Cricetulus griseus: one gene and its partners. The protein of the gene in region 4 interacts with the protein of the main gene of each other region in a pairwise test. Links are inferred from orthologs where the notes say so. Each region holds a gene or a part of one and is shown on either strand. Other genes may lie near its edges. The genes, in order: Syk, Tnks2, Rad23b, Usp25 and Rad23a.

Evidence for each region.
Region 1: the proteins of Usp25 (region 4) and Syk interact in binary tests that used the Homo sapiens proteins (3 or more experiments, as listed by UniProt). The link is inferred for Cricetulus griseus from reciprocal best matches to the Homo sapiens genes USP25 and SYK.
Region 2: the proteins of Usp25 (region 4) and Tnks2 interact in a two-hybrid assay, tested with the Homo sapiens proteins (2 studies listed by BioGRID and IntAct). The link is inferred for Cricetulus griseus from reciprocal best matches to the Homo sapiens genes USP25 and TNKS2.
Region 3: the proteins of Usp25 (region 4) and Rad23b interact in binary tests that used the Homo sapiens proteins (3 or more experiments, as listed by UniProt). The link is inferred for Cricetulus griseus from reciprocal best matches to the Homo sapiens genes USP25 and RAD23B.
Region 5: the proteins of Usp25 (region 4) and Rad23a interact in binary tests that used the Homo sapiens proteins (3 or more experiments, as listed by UniProt). The link is inferred for Cricetulus griseus from reciprocal best matches to the Homo sapiens genes USP25 and RAD23A.

The regions. Positions count from the first base shown.
Region 1 is NC_048596.1:271,533,921-271,539,198, reverse strand, and holds the start of Syk (tyrosine-protein kinase SYK), read right to left. Parts: upstream 3,723-5,278; coding exon 3,309-3,722; intron 2,057-3,308; coding exon 1,896-2,056; intron 1-1,895. UniProt on the Homo sapiens protein: Non-receptor tyrosine kinase which mediates signal transduction downstream of a variety of transmembrane receptors including classical immunoreceptors like the B-cell receptor (BCR).
Region 2 is NC_048596.1:24,908,585-24,913,341, forward strand, and holds part of Tnks2 (poly [ADP-ribose] polymerase tankyrase-2), read right to left. Parts: intron 3,759-4,757; coding exon 3,539-3,758; intron 129-3,538; coding exon 19-128; intron 1-18. UniProt on the Homo sapiens protein: Poly-ADP-ribosyltransferase involved in various processes such as Wnt signaling pathway, telomere length and vesicle trafficking.
Region 3 is NC_048595.1:88,474,710-88,479,466, reverse strand, and holds part of Rad23b (UV excision repair protein RAD23 homolog B), read left to right. Parts: intron 1-926; coding exon 927-1,054; intron 1,055-2,591; coding exon 2,592-2,727; intron 2,728-3,694; coding exon 3,695-3,822; intron 3,823-4,757. UniProt on the Homo sapiens protein: Multiubiquitin chain receptor involved in modulation of proteasomal degradation. Binds to polyubiquitin chains.
Region 4 is NC_048597.1:18,264,647-18,270,203, forward strand, and holds the start of Usp25 (ubiquitin carboxyl-terminal hydrolase 25), read right to left. Parts: upstream 3,656-5,557; 5' UTR 3,542-3,655; coding exon 3,497-3,541; intron 1-3,496. UniProt on the Homo sapiens protein: Deubiquitinating enzyme that hydrolyzes ubiquitin moieties conjugated to substrates and thus, functions in various biological processes including inflammation and immune response.
Region 5 is NC_048596.1:159,532,906-159,536,462, reverse strand, and holds part of Rad23a (UV excision repair protein RAD23 homolog A), read right to left. Parts: intron 2,763-3,557; coding exon 2,601-2,762; intron 2,459-2,600; coding exon 2,277-2,458; intron 2,152-2,276; coding exon 2,096-2,151; intron 1,958-2,095; coding exon 1,830-1,957; intron 1,611-1,829; coding exon 1,532-1,610; intron 1,445-1,531; coding exon 1,311-1,444; intron 1-1,310. UniProt on the Homo sapiens protein: Multiubiquitin chain receptor involved in modulation of proteasomal degradation. Binds to 'Lys-48'-linked polyubiquitin chains in a length-dependent manner and with a lower affinity to 'Lys-63'-linked polyubiquitin chains.

The DNA of each region.
Region 1 (5,278 bases), on a different chromosome or scaffold from region 4:
AGAACTTTTGAGGAGAAAACTTTCATAGAAGAGAAATCTTAAAGAGAGCTTTTGAGAGAGAACTTTTTGGGAAGAACGTTTTCTTGAAGAATAAAGAGTCATGAGAGGAATACGTGTGTGACAGCCATTTATTTCCCTCTCACTCTCAGACTCCTTTGAGGGAAACCCTCACTGCCTGCTGTGTAGCCCTGCTGTCTCAGTCTGGACCCTGAGAGAGCATCGAGGCTGGAACTTGAATGCTCTCCTTTTAAGAGTAGCCAATGATCTTAGCCATTGAATCATCTCTTCAGCTCCTAAGATAATTCTTTAATATCAGAAGTAAGAGGACAATTCTTGAGCGAGATACAAATGCAGAGAAAAAAACCTGAACTTCTAGGAAGATTAGCCTGGTGCTGATCAATGTGCCTGACCATGAAGAAACCTCATTGATTCTGGGAAAGTTTTACTGGATAGAATGTGGGTGGCTCTTCAAAACCCTGAAGGCCTCTGTGTAGGGACACTGAGTGACCACAAATGCAGGCATTCTCCCAGCACAACCTTGGCAGGCACATCTTTAGAAGAGGCTTACACTCACCAGGATACCCCTTGCTTCTGTGGACTACAGACCCTGCCTAGCTGTACCACTGCCCTGGGACCTTCTGAATTTTGGCTCACACAGGGCCACTGCAGATGCCCAGGCCAGGAACCCAGGATCCTAGCCTTCATGAGCTGAGCTGTACAGGCTGAAGCCCACAGACCCATTTCTGCTCAGATATCTATGCCCAGGTTTGGTGTAAGCAGCTCCCAGGACTTTGCTCCTGAATGTCTGCGTTAGCACACAGTTCCAAGCACAAACAGAAGTCCAAAATCTGGGGGCAGATCGAAGCGAACAAACTGTGCTGTCTTACATTTGTTCCGTGACCACATTGTACACCATGTCTGCCATGTGAAGCAGAATTCAGGCTGAGCAACCCTACTCCAGAAACACTAAAATACTGTGGGAAAAATTACCTTGACGCTAGCTAGGGGCCTGGGACGATGGTCAGTTGGTGAAGTGTTTATAACACACGATGTCCCAAACTGATCCCAAGAACCCATGTAAAAATCTGGGTGTTGCAGTGAGTGCCTGTAATCTCGGCACAGACCAGAGGAACCCTGGGGGCTGCAGGCAAGTCACTATAGACAAAGCAGCAGGCTCCAGGTTCAGGGAGAGACTGTTTCTCAAAACTGGGAAGGAAGAGCCAGCAAGCTAACTCATTGGGTAAAGATGGCTGCGCCCAAGCCCGATGACCTGGGTTTAATGCTTAGAACCATGTAAAGGTGAAAGAAAGAACTGCCCTCCATGGAGGTTGCACTTCGGCATCTATGCACTCCCCCACCAACATGAACAGACATGATAATAAATGAGAACGAGATACTCGGATGAATAAGGTGGAAAGCAACTGATAAGGCACCAGTGTCCACCTCTGACCTCCACACGCATGTGTATACACTTCACACACTTTTACATATGTGAGCATGCTATCCTACACACACAAGAAATTGCCTAGATATCATAAGCATAAAGTGTTTCTAAAAGGTCAAGGAATTTCTAGTGCAGGCTTGGGCAAGAGCTCGTGACATATCTTTACATATGTGCAAATATTCCTGTATCTGAAAATATCCCCAACCCAAAGCACTTCTGGGCCCACCACGTTGGATAACAAACTCAACCCTCATGTGGCTGAACACATCATCACACTTTATGCTCAGACTAGATAAAACACATGCTGGGTCACAAGTGACACCAACTCTCATTGGCAAATGGGGATGTGTGACACCTTCCTGGGGCCACCTGGGTTCTATTCTTGGGGAAGCTGCTACCCCTAGGTGAGCAGCCCTGAAGTTAGGAAGTAGGGGGAAGACACGATACTCACAGGAATTTCCCATTGGTCTTTGATCCTATGAGGACTGTCTGCTCTGATTCGTCTCTGGAGATGTTGCCATGGAACCAGGGCATCTTCTCGTGGGCAGTGGTGGCAATCAGCTTCTCCAGTTGGGGCTTCTGGCTGATGATGGCTTGTTCCAGAGCTTGGCCCTGCAGAGGATGGAGAGAGAGTGAGCTGGCCAGGTACAGAGAAGTTAGATCTGTGTCCCAAGTTCTATGCAGCAAAACAGGACCAAACTCTACTCTTCCCATCACACTCTTCCCATCACTCATCCTTCTTTTATTCATTCCCTAAAATAAGGGAACCAATAAGATCTTTGTATATTACTTGCATGTCTTCACGTGTATCAATAAATGAATGCATTTTGTAATGAAGGGAAGATTCCTTGAAAAGCCAGACAAGAATTTGCATATGTAGGTCATATACACCTGGAGTCAGAGCATGGATCTGACAAAGACAGCTATATACGAAAGCTAGGTTCTGTGGGAAAACCTAGAGTCATTTCATAATGGGCAAGAAGGCTTGAGATGTGTTTGAGTTCGAGGAAGAGAGGTAGCTCAGCAGGCTAAGTGCTCGCTGCCCATTTCAGCCTCATTCCTGGGACTCACATGGTGGAAGAGAGACTGACTCTAACCAAAGAAAACTTTTCAAAGAAATTGTGGCTGTCATTGGTGGCACACGCCTTTAATCCCAGCACTCGGGAGGCAGAGGCAGGCGGATCTCTGTGAGTTCGAGGCCAGCCTGGTCTCCAGAGTGAGTGCCAAGATAGGCTCCAAAGCTACACAGAGAAACCCTGTCCCAAAAAAACAAAAACAAAAACAAAAAAAAAAAAGTTGTGTTAGAGGCAGGCATCTGTGGCTTTCTGTCTGTCAGGATTCAGCTGTGTCCTCACTCCCATCTTCCCCCCCGCCCCAAACACACACACCTACAGGAAATGCCATCAGAGGAGTCACAGGTGAGCAGCCTGGACCACCTGGAGAAAAGGTGGAAATAAAAACAGTACCATTAATAGTAGAGAGGACTGATTTCCCTATCTTTCTCAGAGAGACTGAAAAAGATCTTCTTGGTAATGAATAGCCAGAGTTTGATTACTGACTACACACACACACACACACACACACACACACACACACACACACACATATATATATATTTGAAAACACAGCCTTCTCACAGAAGGAAAATGGACTGCTGAGGGGAATGTGAAGACTGGGCTCTGACTACATGCTCAGATGGAGTGGGAAACAAAGGCAGTGAGGGGCGTGGCCACACAGGGATCTGGAACATACCAGAAACTCAACCACCATGCTGTCTCAGTCTTCCTGTAAAGGATGCAAAGGATTCTGGGTGATGCTAGGACAGGGCTCCATGGTCTCAGGGAGCAGTGCCCACCAGACTCACCTGAAGGTTCCAGGTCTGTTTCACGTATTCCCTGATGAGGTTCTCCTTCAGGTCTTCAAAGGGTCCAGTCTTGGGTTGTACCCCCGGAGGCCGGTTGAAGGGCTTCTTGAGGAGGCAGATGAGGCCATCAGATTCCTGGGAGTGGTACTGGCAGAGGTCTGCCGGGCTGGCATGGGTCCTGCCACCGGAGATGGCATAGGTACCATTAAGTTCCCTCTCAATGGTGTAGTGGTGCGCCTTCCTGTTGTATGCCACTGACAAAGCGAAACCACCCAGATAATTGCGACTCTGGCGCAGCAGGTAGAGCCCATCTGTCATGCCTCCCTGGACCAGGTAGTCTTCAGCCTCTTCCCTAGTGATGTTGCCAAAAAAGTAGGGCAGGTGGTTGGCGCTGTCTGCCGCATTGCCTGCCATGTCTGCCCCTCTTCAGAATTCCAGCAGGTATGTGGGAAAGCACCTGGGGACAACAAAGATGAGTGAGCCCCAGTGAGGAATCCAACTAGCAAGGGGCACTGACTAAGCCCACCAGGGCCTATTCCACAGGGACATAAGCCTTTCTAGTTTAGAATGGACACACCACCCTATTTCGTGCATGGTCCTGACATCTAATTTCCAGTTTCCCAGAACATCCTGTGGTTAGTTAACCAACTCCATGGCCTTTGACAAAGGTGACCCAACTCACTATTATTTTTTCTAGTGAAAAAAAAAAAGAGTTCTAAGAAGAAACACAGTGTGGTGGTTTGAAAGAAAATGGTCCCCAAAGGGAGTGGCACTATTAGGAGGTTTGCCCTTATTGGAGTGGGTGTGGTTTTGTTGGAGGAAGGGTGTAACTGTGGGGGCAGACTTTGAGATCTCTTTTCTCAAGCTTCCCTCAGTGTGACAGTCAGTTGACTTCCTGTTGCCTGCAAGATGTACACTCTCAGCTCCAGCACCATGTCTGCCTGTACACCGCCATGCTCCCCACCATTGATGATAATGGACCAAAAAACCAAAACCAAAACCAAAACAAAAACAAGCAAACAAACAAACTAAAAAACTAAGACACCTAGAAAAAGAGAAGTGCACAGTAGTCTTTTGACACAGTGCTCAGGGCACACCCTGAATGTGAACAGTGGTCCATGGGACAGAACCAGCAAGGACTCAAAGCCCTCGATGGCCTCAGGAGGCACAGATCACACTAAAAATAAAGACAGATGATATTGATCTATCTACCTACCTACCTATCTAGCTCTTGGTTCTTATATTGCCTTTGCTGACCTTGAACTCATTAGGCAGCTAAGGATAACCTTCAACTTCTGATCCTCCTGCCTCTACTTCCCCAGTGTGAGATCAGAGGCATGAAAACCACACCTAGTTTATGTTAGGCTGGGGTGTAACCAAGGGCTTCATACATGCTGGGAAATACTCTACAACTGAGCCACACCCCAAGCCCATACAGCCAAACAGGAGAATCACACCTCAGAGCACAGGCTTTTGCAGTCAGACGTTTCTATTGGCTGAACATTTATAAGTAATTAAGCCTCCAGGTCAATTATTTGGGAATCGAACACTGGGTATTTGCAAACAGGCAGGCAGGAGAAAAATGTCCATTTACATATGGTGGACAAATGTTTGGCACAAAGTTGCACATAAAACTCAAGAAAGCTTTAAAAAAAAAGGATTCTAAACACACGAAAGAACAGTCAAGCAGGGCTTCTTGGTAGCAGCATTTTCTTAGGTGGGCTCTGTTTGCTGGTGGGAGTAGAGGTGCGGCTCCTTTAAGAGACAGCTTCCTGACTCAGTGTTAGTGGCAAAAACGATGTGGCTCTTTGCAGAGGTCCTGCTACCACTCAGTGGCTGCACGGACCCAGACACTTGCCAGAGTTGGCGTGATAAATGTGGCTCCTGCCAGTACCATCACCAGGAAAACCAAGAGAGAGTTGGTTTTATTTATTGTGTTGTCTTTAGATTTTTTTTTTTTTAACAAAACA
Region 2 (4,757 bases), on a different chromosome or scaffold from region 4:
AAACTGAGAAGAACTTACCCCGTATGATGCTGCGTTATGTAAAGGGATGAGTCCTCCTTTGTCTTGGGCATTCACATCAGCTCCATGTTGCAATAAGTACTCTGCGACTTCCAAATTATTGTAACCAGCTAATGCAGGAAAGAAGTAACATTGCTTTCAGTTATAAATGTAGAAAAATCATGTGTTACCCATATAGCTATATGTTTTTAAATAGATATTTCTAAATTTTATGTAAATCTGAAATGATTAGTATTTTGTCTTGTGGGAAAGAAATACCCAATTGGTCTAAAATTTTAGAAGCTTTTGGTTTTGGAGACCCAGCAAATTATAGAAAGATTTTCCTCTATCCATTTAAAACTCCCCTACCTCCAAAACAGCAGGATCTCTAGGACACAGGACAACAACAAAATATCCAAGAGGAGCCCAAAGAGAGCCCATTATGGGTGGTGAGTCAGAAACCAGAGGCCTTAAACCAGACCAATGACTCGTGGCAATGAACACTTGCAAGGAAAGATGAATGGACTAAAGGGTAAACTGTGTGTCTCAAATGGCCACACTACAGCTTCCATGAGCAGTTTCTTCCCCACCAAAGGCCCTACCTTCATGGCTGTTACATACAACAACCTAAGCTCAGGCGTGTGATCCCAAGGGCTAAAATTCACAGGCACCCAATCATCTAGCTGCACAACAGGAGGCATTCTTCCTCAGGAGTCTGTAGAAATGCCTCAGCCTAAGGAGAGTGCTTAGGACACATATAGTAGAGCAACCTCAGAACTATTAAGAAAGCTCATTTAGTACTCTGAAGCACGACATAACCTGTATCTTATCAGTTAGCTCAGAATTCTCTTATGGCAAAGTATCTCTAGACACATAATCATAGATGAAGTAAATGTCATTTTTCCCAATATAAAAACAATGATAATGGCTTTAAATGTTTTGTCTATCAGTGCACATATCAGCCATCCCTTAGAAAGATTTAAAGCATTAAGAATGTCATAGGTGTAGTATTTGTGTATATACATGGGTGAAGGTAGACGCCAGAGGTAAATACAGTATTTTCCCCTATTGCTCTCTGCATCTGTCGCCTAAGACATGGCTTCTCTATGTGGTCTTCCAGAACTCTTTAGATCAGGCTGTCCTGCAACTCAGAGATCCATCTCCTTTTGCCTCCCAAGCACTGTGATTAAAGGCCTGCCTCGCCAGGCCCAGCAGTTTTCTACTTAAAAACAACAACAACAGGGCTGGAGAGATGGCTCAGAGGTTAAGAGCACTGACTGCTCTTCCAGAGGTCCTGAGTTCAATTCCCAGCAACCACATGGTGGCTCACAGCCATACGTTATAAGATCTGGTGTCCTCTTCTGGTGTGTAGATGTACATGAAGCAGAATGTTGTATACATAATAAATAAAATCTTTAAAAACAAAAAACAAAAAAACCCCACAACAACAACAAAAAACAAGCACACCCCCCCCATATATTACTCATTGTCTGTGCATACTTATAGTATACATCACAGGTCAGAAAACTTGAGGGAGTTGACTCTCTCCCTTTTACTTTGTGGGTCCCAGACATGGAATTCAGTTTGTCAGGCTTCTCTGATAAATGCCTTTACCCACTGAGGCACCTCACAGATCCTCCACTTGACTATTTGAGGCACAGTCTCTCACTGAGAATGGAGCCCACTCATTCAGCTAGTCAGGTAGCCATCAAGAGGCAGAGATGCTCTATCTTTGCCCCTCAGTGCAGGAGTGTGAACTCAAGTTCCCATGCTTGCATGGCAAACATTTCATGACAGAGTTTCTTCACAGCCCAAGGTTTAGTATTAACACTATTAGAAGTGAGTAGACACATTCTGTGCTTAAAATGTATTTGCAACAACAGGCAGTGGTGGCATACACTTTAAATCCCAGCACTCAGGAGGCAGAAGCTGGTGGGTTCTGAGTTTGAGGCTAGCCTGGCCTACAGAGATAGTTCCAAGACAGCCAGGGTACACAGAGTAACCCTGTCTCAAAAAAAAAAAAAAAAAAAAAAAAAAAACAAAGAAACAAAAAACATAAACAACAAAAAAACAAAAACCAATCTATTTGTATTTGCAACTTACGAAGACAATGTGGACTTAAAATAGTAATGTCAAGGACTAGAGAGATAGCTCAGCTGTTAATAGCACTGGTTCCTCTTCCAGAGGTCCTGAGTTCAATTCTTAGCAACAACTTGGTGGCTCACAACCATCTATAGTGGGATTTGATGTCCTCTTTTGGCATAAAGTTGATAGAGAACTCATATACATAAAATAATCTTAAAAAAAAAAAACTAGTAATGTCAAATGTTCTAGATAAGAGCTGGAGAAATGGTTCAGCAGTTAAGAGCACTTGTTCTTGCAAAGGACCTAGATTTGGTTCCCAGCATCCACAAGGCAGCTCGTAAGCATTTGTAACTAACTGCAGTTCTAGGGGATCCAATGCCCTGACCTCCACCAGGTATCCGGCACACATGTGGTACACAGACATCCACGCAGGCAAAACACCCATGTTGTAAAATAATCTTTTTGTACGCTGTGAAGATGTTTCTCTGTCAAGGCACACCTGCTGAATGGCCAATAGCTAGGCAGGACTTCTGGGCAGAGACAGGAACTCAGGCAGAGACTGGTAAGCGGGAGGTGCTGGGGATGTGAAGCAGGGATGGGAACGAAACACAGCATGGAGGAGAGGTAACAAGACTGCAGAGCAACATAAATGGTTAGTTAAGTTATGAGAGCTAGTTGGGAACAAGCCTCAAGTAAGGCCTAGCTTTCAGAATTAATTAGTGAGTCTTTGGGTCATTACTGGGGAGCTGGTGCACTTCACTTGCTGACAGGCCTGATCATCTAAATTTGATCCCCAGAACCTATAAGGGGAAGACATTGATTCTTTTTCCCGGGCTTACACTTAGCTTTCATTAGAAAATGAAAACTTTATAGTCTTCTATGAAGAAGGCTGGTTTATACAGGCAAGTTTTTCATAACTCTGTTCAAACATGAATCAATGCAGTGACCTCAAAGAAAGGATTCCAAAGTTTAAAGTGATTGGCAGAGCCTATTTCAACTGTTCTTACTGGTCTCACTATGTAGCTGTGGCTGTCCTGGAACTCACTATGTAGACCAGGCTGGCCTCAAACTCACACAGATCTGCCTGCTTGCTTCTGCAGGAATTAAAAGCTTGCACCACCAGAGTTGGCAACTGTTTTTACTGAATGTAAAACAGTGACAAAGGAAGTGAAATTTGGCAACAGCTTCATGTATAAACACAATGGCTCTGTACAAACACACATACTAGGACAGGATGAAAGCTCTGGTAGATAATTTGACTTGCATCTTTCAAGTTTACTTAGAGGAAATATTTTACTCAAGAGTAAAAATGAATCTTAGGGCTGGTAAGATAGCTCAGCAGGGAAAGGCACAGATGCCAAGCCTAACAACCTGAGTTTGATTCCTGGAACCTACATGATGAAAGGGATAAAATAATCTTAGATGTCACCAGGCTAAATCTAGATTCACTCATTACCTGCCAAATGTAAAGGTGTAGAATGTCGACCTTGGGTATCACGGCAATTTACATTATCAGGAGAAGACAATTTCTTCACTCTGGCTAAACAACCCTTCTTGGCAGCATCTAGCAAAGCTGCATCACCTCTAAGTAGATCTTGGATATCTGTGTCTCCATCTTTAACAAGGTCCAGAGGAGTATTACCATCTCGGTTTTTCTTTGTAGGGTCTGCACCATGCTAGGCATGAGGGAAAAAAAAAGGCGGGGGATATTAGTGGGTATTTTGTCATTGAGAAAATAACCAGAGCAAAGAAAATAATCTCATATTAACTCACCTGATTGTCATTACTGTTTAAATACCATAGGCAGCTATAACACATTCGTAAGTATGCATCAAAGAACAGAAAAACTATAGTAAGTTTTCAGCTATATAATTATCATTTTAGATAGTCTTATGCAGCACACAGGCTGGTCTTCTGAAACTTATTCTGTAGTTGAAGCTGGCCTTGACCACTGATCTTCCTGCCTCTTTCTTCCTACATAATTAGAATGTAAGTATGTACTACTAAGTCTGTCCATGTGGTGCTGGGAATAAATCCCAGGGCCTTGTAAACGCTAGCCAGGTTCTACCAACTGAGATATTATATCCATAGTCCTTACATTATAATTTTATGGAACCACTGCCAAAAATGTAGCCCATCATTGACTGAATTGTCACACATTGCATAGTTGCATTTTTCCTTTTTTGGAGACACAGTTTCTCTGTGTAACAGCCCTGGCTGTCCTAGAACTCATTCTGGAGACCAAGCTGGCCTTGAACTCACAGAGAACCACCTGCCTGTACCTCCTGAGTGCTGAGGTATTTTTCTGTTTTTTAAAAACAGGATCTCAACTATGCAGCCTTGGCTACCTTTCTGGAAATACACTTTTGAGGACCAGGCTGGCCTTGAACTCATAAAAACTCACCTGCCTCTAACTCCCAGGTGCTGGGTTTTAAGGAGTGCACCAATATACCTAGCTGCATCTTTCCTTTTTTTTTTTTTTTTTTTTTTTTTTAAATTTTTGGTTTTTTGGTTTGTTTGAGACAGGTGTCTCTGTGTAGCTTTGAAGCCTATCCTGGCACTCACTCTGTAGTCCAGGCTGGCCTCGAACTCACAGAGATCTGCCTGCCTCTGCCTCCCGAGTACTGGGATTAAAGGCGTGCTACCACCAACTCCCAGCTTTTCTTTAAAAAAAA
Region 3 (4,757 bases), on a different chromosome or scaffold from region 4:
GTAGCTTTCATTAAGGCAAGATAACATCCATCTGGGAAGATTGATGATAGCCTGTGACCAGTGACTCACAATACAAGTAACTCCATCCTGGGGTGTGAAATTCTATCTTGCTTACCTTTGTTTCTCATCAGTTTGAAAATATAAAGTGTCAAAAGAAAAAATAAAACACAGTGCTATTACACCAGAATTGTTTGAAATGCATAAAAAAAGGACTTGCCTTTTGGTTTTTGTGAGAGAGAATTTATCATCCCATAATGCCATTGAACTTCAGTAGGAAGGCTGACATTAAACTCAGAGAAGCCTTCCAAACAGTGAGATTGCAAGAACAACCCATTTGTTTGTCTCTCATTAACAGGTTGCCTTCTGTGACTTGTGAATTTTTGTATTTGTACCTGATATTTCTACTGTGCTTATAAAACCACCTTATTTTTTGTTGCTTTTTTAAGTTACCACAAACTTAGTGATATAAACCAATTTGTTACCTGGCTATTTTTGTAGGTCAGAGCTTTTGACACTGTTCTTGTTGACTGATACCAAGGAGTCCATAAGACTTTTTGGAGATTAGGAGAACCTAGTTCCTTATCACTTCCAGATTCCAGAAGCTTGCAGACCCTTTCTCCATCTGCAGAGAGAGAGACAACAACAAAGTTACATTCCTCCTTTTGTAACCCTCTTTCTGTCACTCTGTTTTTAAGGATTGTTTTTGATGGCATCAGGCCCACTTCCCTTTGTCACATAATCTATATATTACAGGATCTCGCTGGGGATTAGAACATGAGTATTTTTGGGGGAGGGCATTCTGCCTACTTGAATAAATGTTGACACGGTAGTATATGAAACATAGATATCTTATAGTCAAGAAGTATGGAGAGAATGTTTCTTGAATGTTCATGTACTTATTCCTTATCCCCAACACACCTATTTAGTGACAGGTCAATCTTACGAGAATATGGTAACTGAGATCATGTCAATGGGCTATGAACGAGAGCAAGTAATTGCAGCCCTGAGAGCCAGTTTCAACAACCCTGACAGAGCTGTGGAATATCTTCTAATGGTGAGAAGTGTATTTTACTTTTCATTCTCCTTAATTTCAAACTCTTTCAAGAAATTTTGGTTTTAAAAGATGAGTTAACAGTTCAGTGTTGACTACTATATGCTAGATAGTTTGCGCCCCCCAGGGTTAACATTTTGTGTTGATAAACTGTAACCTTTTGGAAAAGATTCTGAAATGATTTTAATTAGAAAATGCCATGATGGGCCGGGCGTTGGTCGAGACCAGCCTGGTCTCCAGAGGAGTGCCAGGATAGGCACCAAAGCTACACAGAGAAACCCTGTCTCGAAAAACCAAAAAAAAAAAAAAAAGAAAGAAAAGAAAAGAAAATGCCATGACGGTGAGTTACAAAGTGGTTCTTTAGAATAGTGGCTTACACACAGTGAAGCTCTGGAGCCCTAGGGTGTCTTTCTAATGGAATAGTCTGACTTTATAGTGGATTTTAGTTGCTCATATAATCTATTAGGAATTATTTAGAGCAAAATTTTAGTTGTCCTCTGTGAGGAAGCAGCATTAGCATTTTGTTTGAGAATTTGATGGAAGGCTTAGCCTTCAGGGACCTCCGCATCACAAGCAGACGCTTTCAGGGCCTGCAGTGTATGTGCACCATTAGTCACTGCTCACTGCCTGTCTTTCCTAAAGCGAGTCTGCCTCGTGTTTAGTAGGAAATGGACTTATCACCATCTCTTAAAGTCTGAGAATTTGGTGGATTTCTAAATAGGTATAACTGCCATTTGTCTAAATGTTGTACATCAAAATAGAAACTCTGAGGGCACTTTTAAACTGTAATAATTTCTTCTTTTTTTTTTTTTTTTTTTTTCTCGAGACAGGGTTTCTCTGTGTAGCTTTTGGAGCCTATCCTGACACTCAAGACCAGGCTGGCCTCGAACTCACCAAGATCCATCTGCTTCTGCCTCCCGAGTGCTGGGAGTGCGCCACCAATGCCAGGCTAAACTGTAATAATTTCAAGAGAAATTATTGAAACATACAAAAAGCATCATTTGGAATTTAAATGATTGAAATATATTTCATGCCCATTTTGTTAATTTTGAAAGATTTTCTGTGTGGCACTTTCTAGATGATATTTGCTCAGAAACATGAGTCAGTAGATGAGACTTTCTTGCTTGGCCAGCAGTATTCACTCATTCAACTCCACACCCTACCACAAAGAGTCATTCAGAACTGTTGTCCTCTTATCCCAAATGCTCCTAATGTTATAAATACAGCTCTTTGTGTCACTGACTGATGATTTATGAAAGTCCCTGCAGTCAAAAGCCATTTGGAACCCCATGATGAGTGAATATCTTAGTTAAATTTGTAGGGTTTAATTAGACATGGATGTGGTTGTTATTGCACAGTACATCTATCACCGTGGAAAGACCTGTTGAACAGTACTGCCTTACACTACATACAGCATTGAGTTCTACATGTATCTCACACATAGACAGTGATGTTCTGTAAGCCACAACTGTTTTTGCTGTGTATAATATTTAGCCTGTGTGTTTTTGAGTTGTCTTAAAGCTTGAAAATTGTGTTGCAGGGAATCCCTGGAGATAGAGAAAGTCAGGCTGTGGTTGATCCTCCTCCCCAGGCAGTGAGTACTGGAACTCCTCAGTCTCCAGCAGTGGCAGCAGCTGCAGCCACCACAACAGCAACAACAACAAGTAGTGCTGGAGGTAAAGTTACTATTTCTGATGGTGAATCTAAATTCGTTTAATTTGAAGTACTCGAGTGGTAACATTCATTCCCAGAGCGTTTGGATAAGTCTTGCGTTGTGTCTTCCCTCATAGTAGTATGGTAGTGCACATCAGTGTTACTGTGTTGTCAGCTTACTCCACTAGCTGATACTAAGAAAAAATGTTTCATAGTTTGAACTCAGTATTCATTTTGAATGGACAGCTCACTTTTCTAAGAATGCATAATTTTAGGCAGTGTGTGTGGTGCAAGCCTTTAATCCTAGCACCAGGAGGCAGGCAGATCTCTGAGTTTGAGGGAACTTAGTCTACACAGTAGAGTTCCTGGAGAACTGGGGTACATAGAGATTCCCTGTCTCAAAAGGAAAAGGGAAGAGATAGTACAATTTTAAAGCCACCAAAACCTTAGTAGATAGACTGCTAATTTTGAAAAGGCTGTGTTTTGATAATTTCTTGCTCTCATTTTGGCAGTCAGTTGGGGGGTCTGTGTTTTATAGTGGAAAGAGGAGGCACAGCTCTAGCTCAGATTTTAGTATTTCCAACCATCACCTACTAGGTAGCTTAATCTCTAAGTCTCACTTTAATATTACACATAATGCAGAAATAAATACTCATGTAACACATACATACATAAATACATACACACACATGCATGTATGTATGCTTCTTGTGAGCAACTACAATAACATAACCTTTTGTTTTGAAGTAGAACACCAGTTTCTTATGTTTTCTGTAATAGTTCACAGGGCATTGTGGATAAGTTTATCTCTCAGTGTTCTGCCTTTGCTACCAGTATAACTTCTACAGAGTAAAGTAGCACATTGGGGTTTATAGAGTTTGTGACTGTGCCAGAGAACAGAAGTGTTTTCTGTCTGAATGTGTGGCTTCACTACCTCTTTGTTATATGTATTTACCATTTTTTGCTTTAAAATGTTTGCATCTATTTCAGGCCACCCCCTTGAATTTTTACGGAATCAGCCTCAGTTTCAACAGATGCGACAAATTATCCAGCAGAATCCTTCCCTGCTTCCAGCTTTGCTACAGCAGATAGGTCGGGAGAATCCTCAGTTGCTGCAGGTAATGATCCATGTTAACTTGGAAAAGGAGTTGGAATGTTGTTGTACTATGGTTAAACCCAGAGCCTATGTTTTAGATAGGCACTGAAGAACAAGTTGGAATATAGGTTGAATCAAGTTTAATTTGCTCAACTAAATTTGGGAAATGTTTTTATTTCTTCTTTCAGGTTCCTGAGACACAATAACATATTAGAGAAGCTGGCAGGGTGTTTAGCTTTTGTAAATCACTTTTCATAGGCTTACTACTAGTGAGATATACTACCTTTTAGAAAATCTACCTATGGACATATTTCATGCTCAGACCAGGAAGTATTTCAGTTTTGTATACAGAATGGTCTGCTAGTGTGGAAAATAAATTATACATAAACAGGGGCCCTCAGTAGGATTTTTGTTTTGTTTTGTTTTGAGTGGAGTTCTCTTTTCCTGGGGTGTGGGTCAAGACAGGGTTTCTCTGTGGCTTTGGAGGGTGTCCTGGAACTGGCTCTTGTAGACCAGGCTTGGTCTCGAACTCACAGAGATCCTTCTGCCTCTGCCTCCCAAGTGCTGGGATTTAAGCTGTGGGCCACCACCACCTGGCTGGAGTTTTTCTTTTTCTTTTTTTCTTTTTTCTTTTAAGATTTATTTATTGTGTATAATGTTCTGAATGCATATATGCCTGCAGGCCAGAAAAGGGTACCAGATCTCATTACAGATGGTTGTGAGCCACCATGTGGGTGCTGGGTATTGAACTTCAGGACCATCTCTAAGAGCAGCCAGTGCCTTAACCTCTGAGCCTCCTGTGAGTGGAGTAATTTTTTAAGTTTGCATTCTCTCCATTTACCTCTCTGAACGATTGTGCTTCATTAATAATCATCTAAGAAAACACTTTCCTTTCCTCACCTCCCCCCCTTTCTGGCTTCTTTTAGATAGGACTGGCCCAAAACTCAAAATTGTCAA
Region 4 (5,557 bases):
ATGCTTCCTAGGTTTCAGCAATCACCCTTTTTTATAGGATAGTCTTTTTAAAAAAATGTATAAACGTCTTTCTTTTCCTTTTCTTTCTCTCCAACCCCTCCTCTCTCTCTCTCTTTCTCTCTCTCTCTCTCTCTCTCTCTCTCTCTGCTTCAACAGCTATGGGTTAACTTGCTACATAGCCAGCTGGCCCCAAATTGAGAATCTTTCTGCCCCAGCTTTCTCACTGGTGGGCATGCCTATATAATTAACATTTTTCTTATAGCAAATTAATAAGATTTTCTCTGACAACTGCTTTTTGTTTTTAATGCACAGAGTGAACGCTGATAGCGCTTTTTGAATAATCTGTTCATTGTTTTGATCATTTAAACTGAAGAGGATATTTTTGCTTCTACATATCCTCATGCTACATTAAAATAAAAATAAATAAATGCTTGCTTGGCTCCACTGAGCACTCAGATCTGAAGGAGTGTCTCATGTGCACACACAGCTTAAAGCTTTACAAGAAGACTTAAGAGACATTTAATGGGTTGCCCAAGGTCACAGAAGGGTGAGTTAGACCTAGCCCACATCCTGTCTTTCTCTTCCACTGCTTCTTTTCCTAGCCTGGATGCTCTTTCAAGCTTTCATTGTTTCTCAGTGACTGCATGTCAGTTCTTTCTTGGGAGGCTAAGTATTCACTGTGCTCGCTTCCCTTCTAAGAACCATTCACTTACAAATCCATTTGTCAAACATTTACTGAGCCCTACTGCGTGCAGGAACAAGTCCAAGCCCTATTGAGCAACAGTGCAGGCGACTCACTCACCAGGATACTTTCAAGTAAGGGGAATCCTGCTCACCTGGAAGCACCTTTTTTACTGGGAGGAGGTTCCCAGTCCTCCTCCCCTAAGGAACCTGTGTGTGGAACTTGAATTTATGTATCTAATTTCTTCTGCCATCTAAAGATCCTCCTCGGAGGTTACTATCCAACACAAGGGCTGACCAGACAGGTCCAAAAAGAAATAACAGCAGGTTCAACTGGACTCCATGTGCTGCCAAATGCTCACCTCTAATGTATCAATCTCAGAAAATCTACTCCCACTGCACTTTTCAAACATTTCCAAACTCCCTAGCTTGGGCAAACTTCAGCAATTAAGCAGACAACACAAAAAGGGAAGACAAGGCCCCTTGCCTCTTCCTATTGCATTGTCACGAGTTACTTAGTAGGTAAACAAAACACTTAAAGTTTTGTGGGTGGTAGCTTTAAAAAAAAATCTTAACAGTTCTTTACAGTAAAAGAGGAAAAAAACACAGACAACAATTGCAACAACTCTAATAGCCACTTCCTTAAAATGTGTCAACAGACCAGCATACTCTTTAGAAGAGAAAACGGGTTAAAATTCTGTCAGCACGGCAGTATGCTCCAAACATCCTTCCTTTTCTTGACAGTCCATGAAGCTACTAAGTGAAATCGGTTTCACTTTTGTTTCTTCTTACATTTGAAGTTCATGTCCTACTTCCTAGAGTGACGTATACTTCCTAGTTCCTAGCATAGTTTTAAGACTTCAACTTTGAACTAGATTATTTCAAGTATTTATAACCATATTGTTTGAACCAGTTCTAGTGGTGATAACAAAGTAACGGTGTATTAACAAGGGAAAGAAACACATTTAGAAATCTACAGACATAGTACAGTTGGTACAGTTCTTGACTAGCAGACATGAGACCCTGGGTTCAATCACCAACACCATTAAATGTAAATATGATGGATGTATAAAACAATATGATGTTGCTCTAAAAACAGTCCCCAATGTCAATGAAATAATCTAACCTACTTAATATGTGTTGCAAAAAACAAAAAAAAAAAAAAAACACAGCATTATAACATGAATATATTGAACTAGAGAATATTCTCTTTGGGAATAACCAAGATCACTTCCAGCAATTTGATTCTTGATTCGACAGTTTTATGTACAGAGTTCTGACCCATCAAGATAGTTACCTGACTCTGTGAAAAGAAGCAGCTTAGTCAAAACAATGACAAAAGCCAGAAACAATAAATTCATTGTCATTTTAAAGTTTAAGAGAAGCTAGGAATAGCAACATTTCCCAATTTAAAATTTAAAAAGAAATTCCAAATGCAAAACAAATATAAATAAAACGATACTGAGTCTATTGCCTAGTATTCCTGAGATCACATGACCTTCCAGTCATAACTCCAGCACATACTCAAGATCAAAATCTAAAAATTATAGTGTTCAAGATAGGACATACAGGATTAGAAGGCAAACTCTTTCATCCATTATTGTCTTGACTTGTCTTGCCACAAAGTACATTACAGTCTGCAATAATCTCAATTTACAAGTAACGTCAACTAAAACAGGCTTCAAAGGCAACTTTAGCAGAAGTGCCTGAAACAACAAAGCACTATCGCTGCTTTCCAAAATTCTCCAACATCTTTATTATCTCAGGTAATATAAAATCTAAAACTATTCTCCGTGCAAAAGAAAAGAGCAGGCTGTTTGTACATATTTGTCTATTTTAATACAGCCGGCCTTACTTTAAAGACAGGCACAGGTAGGCTGCAAGTATGGTGAGTCAAAACTACAGCAGGGTGTGGCATCCATTACTCACACAGATGAGCCAAAGGCGGCTTTGGCTGTTCACTGTAAACCTAATTGCCCCTACAATTCGAATACGACTAAGCCAATGTTTCCCTTGTGCTCAAACTGCTCTCTTCACAGCACTAAGGGGGGGGGGCGGTGAGAGGCAGAACAAGTCATGACCAACTACTCTTCCGGGCGCGGAGCAGGCTATGATGGAGCATTTAAAATTCTTCAAGCAAAATCTAGAATAGCAAGTTGCTATTCTGAAAGCAAGATGTGACGATCCCCCTAAGTAAGTGTCTAGCTGATTCGAGAGAAAAGGGTGAACGCACGGGAGCAAGGTCAAACTTAGGGGACAAAAGATTTCAATAACAGCCATGAAGGTCTCCTGTCCTGAGAGAGAGTTTCAATATTCAGGAGAAAAAAGAAAGAAACAAAAGAGTAATAACCAACCAAACCTTTCTACTTGTATAGAGTCCACCCTGGGTCGATGCACCTGACCCGGCAGGTAACTCGGTGTGGGGGATTTTTTCTTTTTTCTTTCTTTCTTGAGACCAGCAGGCCTGGAATAACACCACTTCCGAAAGAGAAACTGTCCAGAGCGGGTGACAAGTGACATTCTTGAGGAAGAAAGGGGAATGGGAAAGGAAGCGAAGGGGGGAAAAGTTTAATTACAAAGCCTGGCAGCGCACTGAAGGAATGTGGGGGGTCACTCTGGGGACGCGGCCGCCGTCGGTTATGGGCGAGCAATCTGCAGAAGGGAGTGGGCACGGGAAGCCTCTCGCTACACACCCCGCTCCGCACGCAGCCCCGCGGGACCGGGACCGGGACCGGGACCGAGCACGACGCCCCGGGATGGCCGAGCCGGGCGGGGAGGCCACGCGGCCCGTCGAGGAGGAGGAGCGGCGGCTCACCTTCTGCGCCGTGCTCTGCTGCAGCACATTCTGCTCCACGGTCATGGCCCCCGCGGCGATCCCGCCTGCCGTGCTCTGCCGGGCCGGGGGCAGCGGCGCGGACAGCCCCGGAGGACGGCGTCCCCGCCAGCCGGGCGCGAAGGCGATGGCGGTGGCGGCGGCGGCGAGACGCCGCCGGAGAGCGCCACCGCGGCCGCCTCAGGTCCTCCGCGGCCCCTCCTCAGCGCCGCTCGCCGCGCGGCCCGGCCCATGGGCGCAGGCGAGGGAAAGCGCGAGCGAGCGAGCGAGCGGGAGCAAGCGGGGCCGCGTCACGCGTTCGCGCTCGGCTTCGCCTGAGGGCTCCGGGGACCACTGCGGGCCGCTGGCGAGCGGACGGAGGGAGCGGCCGGCCAGAATGGCGCTGTCCTCCAGCCGCCGCGACTCCGCCTCCCGCCCGCCCCTGCCGCCGTCACCGCCCCGCCCGCCCGCCGGCCCCACCCCCACGCGGCCCCGCCCCACCCGTCCTAACCCTACATTGTGACCTGCGGGGGCTGAGGGTGGGGCCCCGACGCTGCCCCGCCCACTAGAGGGCCCCGCCTGCCGCCTAGGCCCCGCCCACCGCACGGGCCGGCCTCCGGAACCGCCCATCCATCCAGCAGGTGACTGGCTTTCCCTGAGCTCTAACGCGCTGACCCCCAAGGCTGAGTTGGTTTACCTGCTCGCCCTCTGTCACAATGTTTCCAAAATAAACAATGTCCCTCCCTGCCTCTAAGGTCCCCAAACCCGGCTGGGCCCAGAACTCCAGCTACTTCCTATGTCACCCACGCCTTTCGAGGAATTTCACAAGCAATGAACTTGCTGGAAGAGAAAAAAAGAAAAAGAAAAAAAAGTCAAATAAGCAGAGGGCTGTTAGAAGTTCTGGGTTGTCTCCTTAGCTAATCGTTACATACATCAGTATTGACATTCCGTGTCTATTCCATGTCCTGGAATGTGTGCCAGTCACTGCTAGGCTCTGGGGATTTAAGGTTTATTTACTGAAGAGAATATAAATGGACATAAGGCAAACAACATTATGAAAGAATCACTGCCTAGATGGTGCATAATTCTACTATTCCTGTTGCCAAATTAAACAAACGATTAACAACCATGTGTGGAGTATTCTACTGTAAACGGTACTGTAAGAAAAGCCTAACAACGAGAAAGCAATCTGAAGACAATAAAATGTCTTCAACTGCACCCGCTAACCGAGGGACAGAAGTGAGGGTGCGGACCAGAGACATTGTATTGGTGGCAAAAACAATAACACAATACACATACAAATCGGGATATAATTTAATCCATGGCAAGGAAAGCAAGCTTGGTAAAGGATCCATGAAATACCAGATTTTGTACAATCATAGTAACTGGAAAAGGCCTTGTAATAACTCTTTTTCCTTTTACCCATGTTTTCTGTCTTTTGGGTGTCTTCAACCTTCTTTTGTGATATTTTTCCCTTGACTCCTTTTGTTTGTTACATTAGGTTGATAAATTATATTTTTACTTCATTAATGATCCAACACCCTTGCTAGAATATAAAAGTTGTGAAATGGTTAGAAGCAAAGAATTTTAGGGATAATGCAACAATTCCACAAATGGATTATCTCTGAGGGTGTTGAGACCCAGAGAGCGTGGGTCTGTCTGAGAATAAACTTGAGCTATGCTGCTTCTCCACAGTTGGGGACCACAGTTCGGCTTCTCTTCGTTTGCAGAGCAGCTTCATGGTTCTCTATAGAATAGACAGCCTTAGAAAATCCTTCCATTTGAAATTATGGATGTAACTGAGACTAAAGATACATCTCAACCCTAGAGAGCACGGAAGCACAAGGCTCTATGTTTGACCTTTAGTATGGCTATACCAAAAAAAGTTAGAATTAATGTTAAACTATTAAAGTGTTTTTTAGAACTATTGACAGATGTTATACTTTAATTTCAAGACTTTGGCAGTACAATGACCCTCAGAGTTCCATTCTTTTGCATTAGTTTTTAAAATCCCTAGTGCTAAATAGATGAAAAGTTTGAGGACCCATTTGCAGCATTCATATC
Region 5 (3,557 bases), on a different chromosome or scaffold from region 4:
ATGTCTCAATAAAACAAACAAACAAAGAAGTAAATAAATATACCAAACCTAGGCATGGCAGTTCATTCCTTTAATCCCAGCACTCAGGAGGCTGAAGCTGGAGGATCACCATGAGTTTGAAACCATATAGTTCAGCCTAACCTATATAGTGAGACTGAAGAAAAACAAAAAGTTCAAATCAAATAATTGCAGATATGCTAGTTAAATCACTGAGGCCTTGTGGGAGGGACCCACTGTCTGGGGCAGGAAGAGGGGGGCTTGCCTCTGGCTAAAACAAGTACCAAGTGAAAATGCCCAGGGGTGGGAGAGCTCAGTGGCACGAACAGCACAGAAAGTCTGGGAAGACCTTTCTCCTGTGGCAGTGGGAAGCCACAGTGGCAAACAAGGCAGTGCTGCTTGGGTCCTTCTCTTTGTGGTGTTGCAAGTAAACCCAGGTCTCAACCTGCTAAGCACAAGCACTCCCTACTGAGTAACACTCAGCCTGTGCAACCTTTATCTTTTTTCTTTCTTTTTTGAAATGATTTCACTATTAGAAGGAGCTGTCTTCAAGTTCAGTGATCCTCCTGCCTCAGTCACCTAAGTGCTGTGCTTACAGGTATGCACTGTCACACTCGGCTCTAGAATCTATTAAATACACTCTACTTGGAAATCCAGAGATTCTGAAGCAACCGTTTGTTTCTGCAGACTTCTGACTATTTTCACATTAAAAAGGGCCTTTTCAGCAATCTAGCCTCTTGGTGGGCAGTTCACCAGGGGCACTGTGCAGAATTAGGAGACATGAGAGGAGGGTGCCAGGATACTGGGAGGGAGAAGTAGCTGCCATAGGGGTAGAAACAGAGAAACAGTCCCCACAAGGCTACCAGAGGCTCAGTGCAGAAATACAACTAGAATCAAACGGGCCTAAGAACTCATCGGTCCAGGAAGTCCTCTCATAGCTCAGATGAGAGGGTTCCAAGGGTTCTGGTGACACAGGTTCAGATAGGTCACCATACAGAGGGTCAAAAGGTGAAGGTCAGATCAAGAAGGCCAGGACTGAGGAGCAGGAAGGGGAGCAAGCACTCAAAAATGCTGTGACCAGAGTCCAGGACCCAGACATACGGCAACCTGCTCTGGGCCTGACCTTCAGCAGGTGGATGTCAATAACATCCATACCTCATGAGAGTCCAACTACACATAACCTTGCCGTCATCAGGGAGCAAGGGGCTGGGCCTGTGCTAGTTCTGCTTTCTCAGAGCAAAGCTATGTCCCTGGGTGATCCCCTAAAGAACTAGAAAAGGTGTCTGTCTCAGTTCCCTCACCCTGGGCCGCACCTGCAAGAGCTGAGGGTTCTCCTGGCCCAGTTGCTGGAGCAGTGCAGGGAGCAAGGCTGGATTCTGCTGGATCACCTGCCGCATGTTCTGGAACTGGGGCTGGTCCCGCAGGAACTCCAGGGGGTTTTCCCCTGCTGGTGGCAGGAAGAGGTGTGGTGAGAGCCCTGCAGGGCTCCTGTGTCTACTGTAGATACCCACATGTGCAAATCCATCCTACTCACCTGCTTCCACGGCCGGCTGTTCTGGTACCTGGCTCTCCTGAACAGAACCATGTTCCGGCTCAGGACTCCCGGGAATTCCCTGTCAGGGATCCTGCTTTTTAGTTCTCTCCAACAGACCCACTTCCCCCTCCCAGTTGATCAGCCTGACAGGAGACAGGAAGGCCTCATGCCTGCCTTCCACACTCTCGTACAGCCTCTTTGAGAAGCCTTCAGTGGCAACACGTGATACCCATGAGCCTATGGGGTAGGTTCCACCTCCATTGCCTGTTGAGGCACCAAGATCTGGAGACTCCCTCACCGTGAGCAAGTATTCCACAGCTCTGTGGGGGTTGTTGTAGCTGGCCCTCAATGCGGCCACAACCCGCTCCCGCTCGTAGCCCATGGACATGATCTCAGTCAGCATCGTCTCATACTCAGAGCCAGTCACTGTGGAGGGAGCAGCAGGGCCTGGGTCACCAGGGGCACAGAAGGGCTGCTCCCAGACCCTCCCATACCCAGACAAGGCTGTCAAAGGCGGATGGCTGGGGCTCCCAGTCGCCTCTGCCCTGAGGACCACCCACCCACCTAATGTGGAAGCTGCGTCTTCCTCTCGCCCGCTGCTACCTGAAGAGGGAACAGAGCTGCAAATTCAAGAGAGAGAAATCGGACCCTGGCTTCTGGTGGCTTGCCCTCCCCACAAGTGCATGGGACCACACTGGAAAGTGCAGAGGACAGGGCACAGGTAAGGCTACTGCCCCTTCCTTACCCAGAGATGGATTCTGGAGATGTTGCAGTAGCTGATTCCTCTGATGGGCTCTTGTCCTCTCTGCTGGCAGGTGGAGGATGGGACATGCCTGATGTTGGAGCCGGAGGAAAGGGTGTGGAGGACTCTGGGGCAGCAGTGGGTGAGACCTCTGGGGGTGCTGGGGTACTTTGGCCAGCCTTGGCCTGTGGCAGCAAGAAAAAGGGATCAGGCAGCAGCATCCCTATCAAGCCTCAACATCCTGCCCCATCACAGCCCCACCCTGCCTATGGCTAATCTCTCCTGGGCACACAAGCCCTTTGCCAGCATCCCAGCTAATCTACCCACCTTGGTCACCATTACAACCACAAAGTTCTTCTCATCTATATGGTATTCCTTGATGGGGACATCATCATTCAAGATCTTGCCAGCATAGATGAGTTTCTGTCCAGCCACAGGGAAAGCATCTCTACCCTTCTCAGCCTCTATCTTCTCCTTCAGCACCTTCACCTGGAATAAGGAGTACAGGCATTAAAAACACGGCTTTAATAGTGTGATGTGTATGTTTACACATAGCACTAACACTCTAAGATACCCTCAGTGAAGTCTAGGCATGGTTGTGCACACATTGAATCCCAGTACTTTGGAACGACAAGTGGATCACTTTGAATTCCAGGCTAGCCAGGACTATATAGTGAAACTGTCTCAGATAAAATAAAGACACCTTTCCTGACCCTTTTACCTTAGGGGAAAAGCTTTGCTCTCAATCATAAGAGACTCCTACTCAATGTGGCCAGTCGACAGCAATCTATTACAGGCCAGACACTTATGCTGCTCGTTGTGTGTGTATGTGCGTGTGATTGTGGTGGCCTAATTGTTCTACAAGAGCTCCATCCCAAACCCTGTTTTACAACAGCCTGTGGAACAGAACAAAACAGAATTCAGTCACTGTTCTCATGGAGAAGACCTTGATGTGAGAAAAAAAGCAAACTTGTATTTCAGATGTCATGTTGTTGAGAAGGGAAACAGTAAAAAGGAAATGAAAGGGTATACCCACTGCTGGCCACAAAAAGTTAACTGTTCTGTAATTATTGAGGAAATCCTTTACCCCCTCCTTTTTTGAAATGGTCTTATTCTGCACTCCAGGCTGGCCTAACTACATAGCTCAGGCTGGTCTGGAACTTAAAACAATCCCCATCTTGGCCTCAGTGTTCAGGGATTATAGACATGACCACTATGCCTAGACTTCACTAAGGGTATAGCAGTGGCTTCATAGTATATTTGAGAAGATTCAGGGGAGGTGGC